Linked DNA regions of Xenopus tropicalis. The protein of the gene in region 1 interacts with the protein of each later gene in a pairwise test. Links are inferred from orthologs where the notes say so. Each region holds a gene or a part of one and is shown in the gene's direction. Other genes may lie near its edges.

The links.
Region 2: the proteins of lin7a (region 1) and mpp2 interact in binary tests that used the Homo sapiens proteins (3 or more experiments, as listed by UniProt). The two-hybrid records come from large-scale screens. The link is inferred for Xenopus tropicalis from reciprocal best matches to the Homo sapiens genes LIN7A and MPP2.

What each region holds. Positions count from the first base shown.
Region 1 is NC_030679.2:52,581,922-52,585,578, reverse strand, and holds part of lin7a (protein lin-7 homolog A), read left to right. Parts: intron 1-1,245; coding exon 1,246-1,364; intron 1,365-3,657. UniProt on the Homo sapiens protein: Plays a role in establishing and maintaining the asymmetric distribution of channels and receptors at the plasma membrane of polarized cells.
Region 2 is NC_030686.2:18,113,942-18,117,598, forward strand, and holds part of mpp2 (MAGUK p55 subfamily member 2), read left to right. Parts: intron 1-212; coding exon 213-344; intron 345-2,490; coding exon 2,491-2,596; intron 2,597-3,657. UniProt on the Homo sapiens protein: Postsynaptic MAGUK scaffold protein that links CADM1 cell adhesion molecules to core components of the postsynaptic density. In CA1 pyramidal neurons, required for synaptic KCNN2-containing channel function and long-term potentiation expression.

The sequences.
Region 1 (3,657 bases):
GCTAGTAATCTACTTTCTACTGCTCTGTATGTAGCTGCTGTGGGGAGCTGTCCTGCTGATCTCATCTGCTGTAACCCAATAGTCCTTGTAAGGACTGCTTTTATTTTCTGATTACTGTTACTCTAGTCTTCTTTTCATTGTGTACTGCAGCTCCGTCTGTGTGTGTTGGAGACAGGTGTGCTGCTCATAGTAGTGCACTGAGCACCAACCACACATTCACATCATTTTTTTTATTTGTGTTTTTTTACTTTGCTACTGTAATTTATAGAGCCCAGTGCTATTAGTCTAGACTGGTGTGCTGCTCCTAGTAGTTCACCCCCAGCACCAACCAGAGATCACTTTTTTTTTTATTATTAATTTTTTTTTTAAAATATATTCCGTATCCACTACTGCAGCGTTTTGTCTTTGCGTGTGAACCGGCTGTAACCTTTACATGACTTGATTGGCATGTAGACGCCGGACGTTTTAAAGCAGTTTATTACACAAGTTTAGAAATGTAGTGTGATTTCTGTCCTTTACAGCACAAAACACAACGCTGTGTCAACAATGTATTTTTCAGAGAAATTTTTGCCCTTGATCCCCCTCCTGCATGCCACTGTCCAGGTCGTGGCACCCTTTAAACAACTTTAAAATCAGTTTTCTGGCCAGAAATGGCTTTTCTAGGTTTTAAAGTTCGCCTTCCCATTGAAATCTATGGGGTTCGCAAAGTTCGCAAAAGTTCGCACTTTTTGGCAGAAGTTCGCGAACGGGTTCGCAAACTTTTTTTGTGAGGTTCGCTACATCTCTAACTGCGTATGCCATCCCACCGCTGATTTACATACTAACCGGTGGAATGGTATTTCGGGGAGATTTGTTGCGGGCGACTAATCTCCCCATCTGCCACAGCCCTTATATAACCTTGTGTCTGACATCTATTTAGTGATCCAATACACATGTCATTAGACCAATGTAAATAAGTGGTAAATGCTTAGGGCTAAAGCAATCAAGTAAAAGGTTTGACAGGTCTAGTTACCTAAATCAACCTATCAGACTATTAACTCCTAATTGTTTATTGATTGGTATGATTGATTAGCTGGAGCTTTAGAATGACCTCAAAACCCTCACATTTTACAAAGAATTTGTACAATGCACATGTTTCTACAACCCAGTTACACAAATAACATAACAATCACCAAATATAACTGATGACATCCTCCTCTGAATAAATATGCTGACATTCATGTGTTTTCCTGTTCAATCCAACAGATGTTTCACGTGCTATAGAGCTGTTAGAGAAGCTGGAGACATCAGGAGAACTCCCAGTGCAAAAGCTGCAATCACTGAAAAAAGTACTACAGAGTGAATTTTGCACAGCCATAAGAGAGGTAGGATACCAAGACCAGAATGACTCAATATCATGATGAGCTACTTACTAAAGTGACTAGATTAGTGAGATGAATTTATTAGCTAAGATACATACATTTACAATTTGTCATGCCAAGAGTTGTATAATAAGGGCAGTTTTATCAAAGTGTGAATTTAAAGCTCACTGCAGTAAAAGTCCATTGCTCTCTATTCATTTCCATGGGATAAGGCATACTTATCAGTGAAAGTTAGAGTTCACCGTTATACCTCTAAAAATCCCAAAGAAAATTAATTGAGAGCATTGGAATTTGACTGTGTTGAGCTCTAGTTTCACACAAATCTGCCTATACATGCTCTAAAATGGGCGCAAGAGACTTGTGGCAATTCAGGGACAGAGAAAGGCAGGGTGGAAAATTATCTTAATGGAATCTATAAGAATACAGAAAAAAGACATATTATGGCATTAGTGCATTAGAAAAAATTTACATTAAAAAACATGTATCAAGTTCCTATTTAGTTACCAGAACAACTTAAAAACCCTGAATCATGTAGCATTTTGCCTATTAGATGTTTGCAATTGTAACACCTTGGATGTTGCTTCCAGTGGCATTAAAAGAGGTTCTTTTTTTAAGTTCCTGGCTCAGAGACAAGTTTTGGTTACATAAAAATGGTGTACTGACAAACAGAGCCTAACATAGGCTGCCAGTGCACATAGGGCCTACCAAATAGCCAATCACAGCTCTTATTTAGCATCCCCAGAAACATTTTTAATGCTTGTGTTGCTCTCCAACTATTTTTACCTTTAAATGTGGCTCACGGGTAAAAAATGTTCTTTCTTACACTCAACATCAGGGGAACACAAGCATATTAAGGCAAATAGCACTTAAGCAATAAAAAAGAAAGCTTTGACCACCACATCCATTATTCCAGGAATATTTAAGCTTTTTTAATTTAGGTAAATAGTTATCAAAGCCTGGAAAGGCAACATACTACTAAATTCTCTGTAAAATAGTACATAAAAAACTAAATTAGGCTTGTGATTTTTTTCTAGTTCGTTTCTTTTTTATTTTTTGTTTCGTATTCCCTTGGCAGCAATGTTCTCCATGTTCCAGATATCTGAAAATGTCCTATAGCAATAAAGTAGACTGCAAAATATATTTTTAATGCAGATGAAAGTAATAACTGTCCAACTGTCCTACCTCTTGAATGCAATGTGCTGTTATCCAGAAAAAGTTAGGAACACTTGAGAACAGGTTGTTCTACTGTAGAAGCTAAAAGGCACACAGAGGTCTGTCAGAATTAAAATTTGTGAATTTTAGAGCTTTTTTCATTTTACCAAGCTCAAATGTGTGCTTATTTATTAGAAAACTCAAATTAAAAAAAACTCAATTGAATAATAACATTAAAAAAAAAATGATTACAGTGAATTTGCATTCTCCTTTTCATTTCAATAGATCTACAAACTCTCAAAGAAATGAAAAATTAAAAAAAACTCAAATTAAAAAAGTTTTACTAGAACAACTTCTACATTGACCTCATGATGTTTCCAGTTATAGAATGCATCACTACTGCAGTGTACAATACAGGAACAGAACCGTATGGGTCACAGGGTCCATGCTGATAATGCAGACACCCACCAGAGGATCTAACTCACCCTTAAAAAGTAAATGCTGTGCTTTTTCAACCACTTAGATTGCCAATCGCTATGATTGGGGGATTGCATATAAAATATAGGGGTAGAGGGATAATAGAAAAAGCCAAGGTTTGTGTAGCTTATACTGATAAGTAGTACAGTCCCTACAACTGTCCCTATCACAGCCAAGCCCATCACGTCCAGCTGGATTCCTGCCTATAGTCTGCCTTTTTTCAGCTCCCTTCCAACACTCAGCATGATATTTTCAACATGGGTCCTTATGTTTCCATTCATTAAAAAACTAATTATTTTTTGCCCATTCCTGCAAAGACCTTTCTGTAATGAACTTCTAAATAAATGTACTATGGAATATTAGGTGTAAATTAATTTTCTTCCTTACAATATACAGAGATTACAGTGCAGTGGGTATATTTTAGAACCTGCTTTTTATAACATTTAGGGGCACATTCATGAAAACACGAGTTTGAATCCTGAATGGGATTAATTCGGATTGGATACGATAATTTCTTAAGGTTGCAAATATCACGAATATGCTTACGAAAAAAACGTTAGTCATGATAATATCGTATTGGTGATCCGAAAGTCACAAAATCTTTGTACCGAACGATCGTAAAATGCAGGAAAACCTTTCCAACTTTGATCATTCTGTGCATGATTTT
Region 2 (3,657 bases), on another chromosome or scaffold:
TATCTATAGGTAGGTATGTCATTTTCTCTATATCACTGTAATTCTTTACTTCCCTTCAAGTTTTTAATGAAACTATACACAAAATGTAGATAATACAGTACACAGAGGTTTTAACCAGTTTTATAACAATGAAAGCCCTATGTTAGCCTTATGTATGAAATGTATGACATTCCTTATAATACAATAAGTGTTACTCGTGAATTCTTTTTCAGGTGTTTGTTAAGTGTCACTTTAGTTATGATCCTTCCAGTGACAGTCTGATCCCATGTAAAGAGGCTGGCTTGCCTTTCAAAGCTGGGGACCTTCTACAGATTGTTAATCAAGAGGATCCCAACTGGTGGCAGGTAGGGGGTAATGGTTAAAGTGCCAGTTTTGTCCATGAGGTCTTGGTATTCTCCTGTGCAGTACAGTAACCCCCATATGTTATAAAAGGCACTATGTTTGACCTGGAGAAGTAACCCACAGCAACCAATAAGAGGTCTGCTTTTAAACAGGTGACCATTAAATTCTACCTGATTGGTTGCTATGAGTTACTGCTCCTGGGCAAACTTAGTGCATTTTATTACATAACCCCATAAGCATCTAACCAATTTGACTCCATCCCTCTGATTTTACCATCTCACCAGTCTTGCCTTTCACCACCCTTGTGTCTTGGCGATCACTCCAGTCTTAAGGGTATATTTATCATACTGTAAAAACTGGAGTACAACATTACTGGTGATGTTGCTCATAGCAGCCAATCAGATGCTTTGCTTTGGTTTTCTAACTGTTGAAATCTAATTGCTGATTGGTTGCCCTGGGCAACATCACCAGTAATGCTTCACTCTACATTTTACACAGCATGATAAATATACCCCTAAATTAGTGTCTTCAAGACCCTTGACTTTAACATCTCTCCAGTCTTCATATCCTCCAATGCTTTAACATTTTACCAATGTAGGTTTCCCCTAGTCCTATGTCTATAACATGTCAGCAGTCTTTATTTCCTACAGATCACCTTGCCTGCAGTCTACTATCTTTAACACCTCTCCAGTCTTGTGTTCTCCAAGCCATTTTTAGCATGACTCGTGCCCTTTGCCCTGTTTATGTAAACTACTGTCTAATTCAGGGGTCCTGTCGTTTTTTTGCTTAACTTTCTACTGATCCGCCAGGTCTATGTGCTATACCGGGGGATCTTGCAACCCTGTGTGACTTACATCTAACCGATTCTGTGTACCTTAGCAGCCAATGGTGTTAAACCCTTGCATATCTTGAAATCCTCTGAGGTTGCATGTTTAATGTCTTACCACCATCTGATAACTTTTAGAATCCACCAGCACAAGTCTATTGACCAGTTTTGGATCCTGTGTGGTTTATATCTCATTTGACCTAGAACTCCAAACCAGGTTTATTAATGTTTCCCCAATCAATGGATCATCCCAAAGTCCGGGGTTCATCCAGTTGCACTTATTCTATTTCTATCCCTAGCATTCCTCACTGTGTATCTAATATCATACCAGTCTTTAGATAATCCTTGGCTGACTAGCATCTCAATTCTCATGGAACCCTTTAACCAAAATGATCAAAATAGGAGTCTGGAGCTAAATACATAAAAACTCACCCATATTCTGTTCATTCCTATGGGATCTTGAGAAGTGTATTTATCAATTGGTGAACTTTTTCACCTATTTATGAAATGTTCATGGATTAACTGAGATGATAACAGGGCTTATTTACAACTGTAACTACAGTTGTGGTCCTTGAATGAAGAAGCCACTCATTAGAGGACTTGCATCTAAAGTTGCTCTTTGCACTTCCACATAGGAGGACTTTGCGCTATCCACTTGGCACAAATCCGTTCCTTCAGTTTTGAATTGTGTACCAGTCCACCTATTTATGATAAGTTCCCATAACGACTTGTGTGCAAAACGCCTAAAGAATCATACATTGTAAATCCTTCAGCAAAATTGTGTCTACTTAACGTTCAAAAGCAAGCATCATTTCTTATTATTCCACATGAAAAGGCACTAGTAATGTGTGGGCTGGCCGATACCTGAAGGACCTGCGGGTCAGGCATGTTTGGGACGACCTTGGCACCCCATTTGCGGGTCGTGGGTGGGTTTGAGTTGAGCTCTTCCACCTGCCCTCCTGCCCACTACCTTACACAGCTGGCTTGTGGTTTCCAGCAGTTGGATTTATAGGCGTGTGCCCACTGTGACATCATCGGGCGTGGATCTATAAAGAAAGGGTAGAAGCCGGGCCGGGTAGAGTTTGAGTTGGGAGCGGCTGATTAGAGTTGGATGCGGGCCAAGTATTTCTCAACCCGCACATCTCTATCAGGCACATCTTTTGTCACAGCCACATGGAATAACACTGCATTGTGGGTAAAAACGTGACAACTTTCAGCCAAAATTGCACTTGTGCTTGTAAATGATCCCTGATATCATAAATGTAATTCTATTGAACAACTCCTGATTCTCTGTCTCTTTTCTAATTGTTACTGTTCCCCAGGCCTGTCTGGTAAAAGGTGGCACTGCAGGTTTGATCCCCAGTCAACTACTGGAGGAGAAGAGGAAAGCATTTGTAAAACGGGATGGAGAGTTCACTCCTAACTCCAGTAAGTATTTTCTGGCCCATGATCTGCATGTCAATAAAAAAAGTAGTTTGTGGTGGGAGTGCAACATAGAGTAGACACTGCATTGTGTGAATTCAAAAGTCTCTGATTTCTTTTGTAAAATAGCTATATACTCCCCTTTTCAATATTATTTCAATGAATGGGGCTTATGCTGAACATTCTTTTTTTTTTTTTTAATTAGAAAATATATTTTTGTCTGGACACAATTAAAACAAATAAGCAGTCTACTAAGAAGCCTCTGTATAAACAAACCCCTCCCTGAACCCCTGCTGAAGCCTTTGAGATATGCCTGAGATAAAAAGCAGTGCATAATACAGAGGGTCTCTCAGTGGACTGCTGATTTGTTTTGATTGTGTTTGGAAGAACTAGAAGTGGAATGTAACTTTACTTTCAATTTCATATTTTGCTCTGCTTAGCTCAGAAACAATGGGTAAAACAATGGGCAAAAGGTATGTGTAAAACATGCTGTATTGATTGTACTAATGTTAAAAAAGGGGTTAAACTGCCCTTTCTATGCAAGGCAAACACAAAAGAATTTATGGATACTGTTTGAGCCTAAGCCACTATTATCCATCCATGAAGCGCTTCTGCACTATGGATTGATGGTGAACATTGTGCTCTTCTCCTTTGCCCACCATAGTTGTTGAGCTCAAGAGGCCAGTTCTGCCTATGGCAGGCTATCTGATTTACCTAGCCAAACTAGGCATAAGCTATTAGAACATTCCAGAGGACACCCCCATGTCTTCCACTTAGTGTGCCAAAGAGCACCAATACAGGCAGTGCTGTATTTATAGTGAGGATGAGCTCTTTGTGCTCCATCTTCTGTGCACCTTAATGGCAGAACCGCTAGAGTTACAAAAGCTTACATTTTTTTCTCTTGGCTATTTTGTGCCACGGTTTTTCATAGAGCTAGAAAACAGCTCATGGCTGTCAGCAGGTGCAGAGACTTGTAGTTTTATAAAAATTGAGGTTCATGGCTGAGCAGTGTTACCGTCACTGTCATCTGCAAACCAAATCCCAGTGGCTTAACTACTCTACACCAG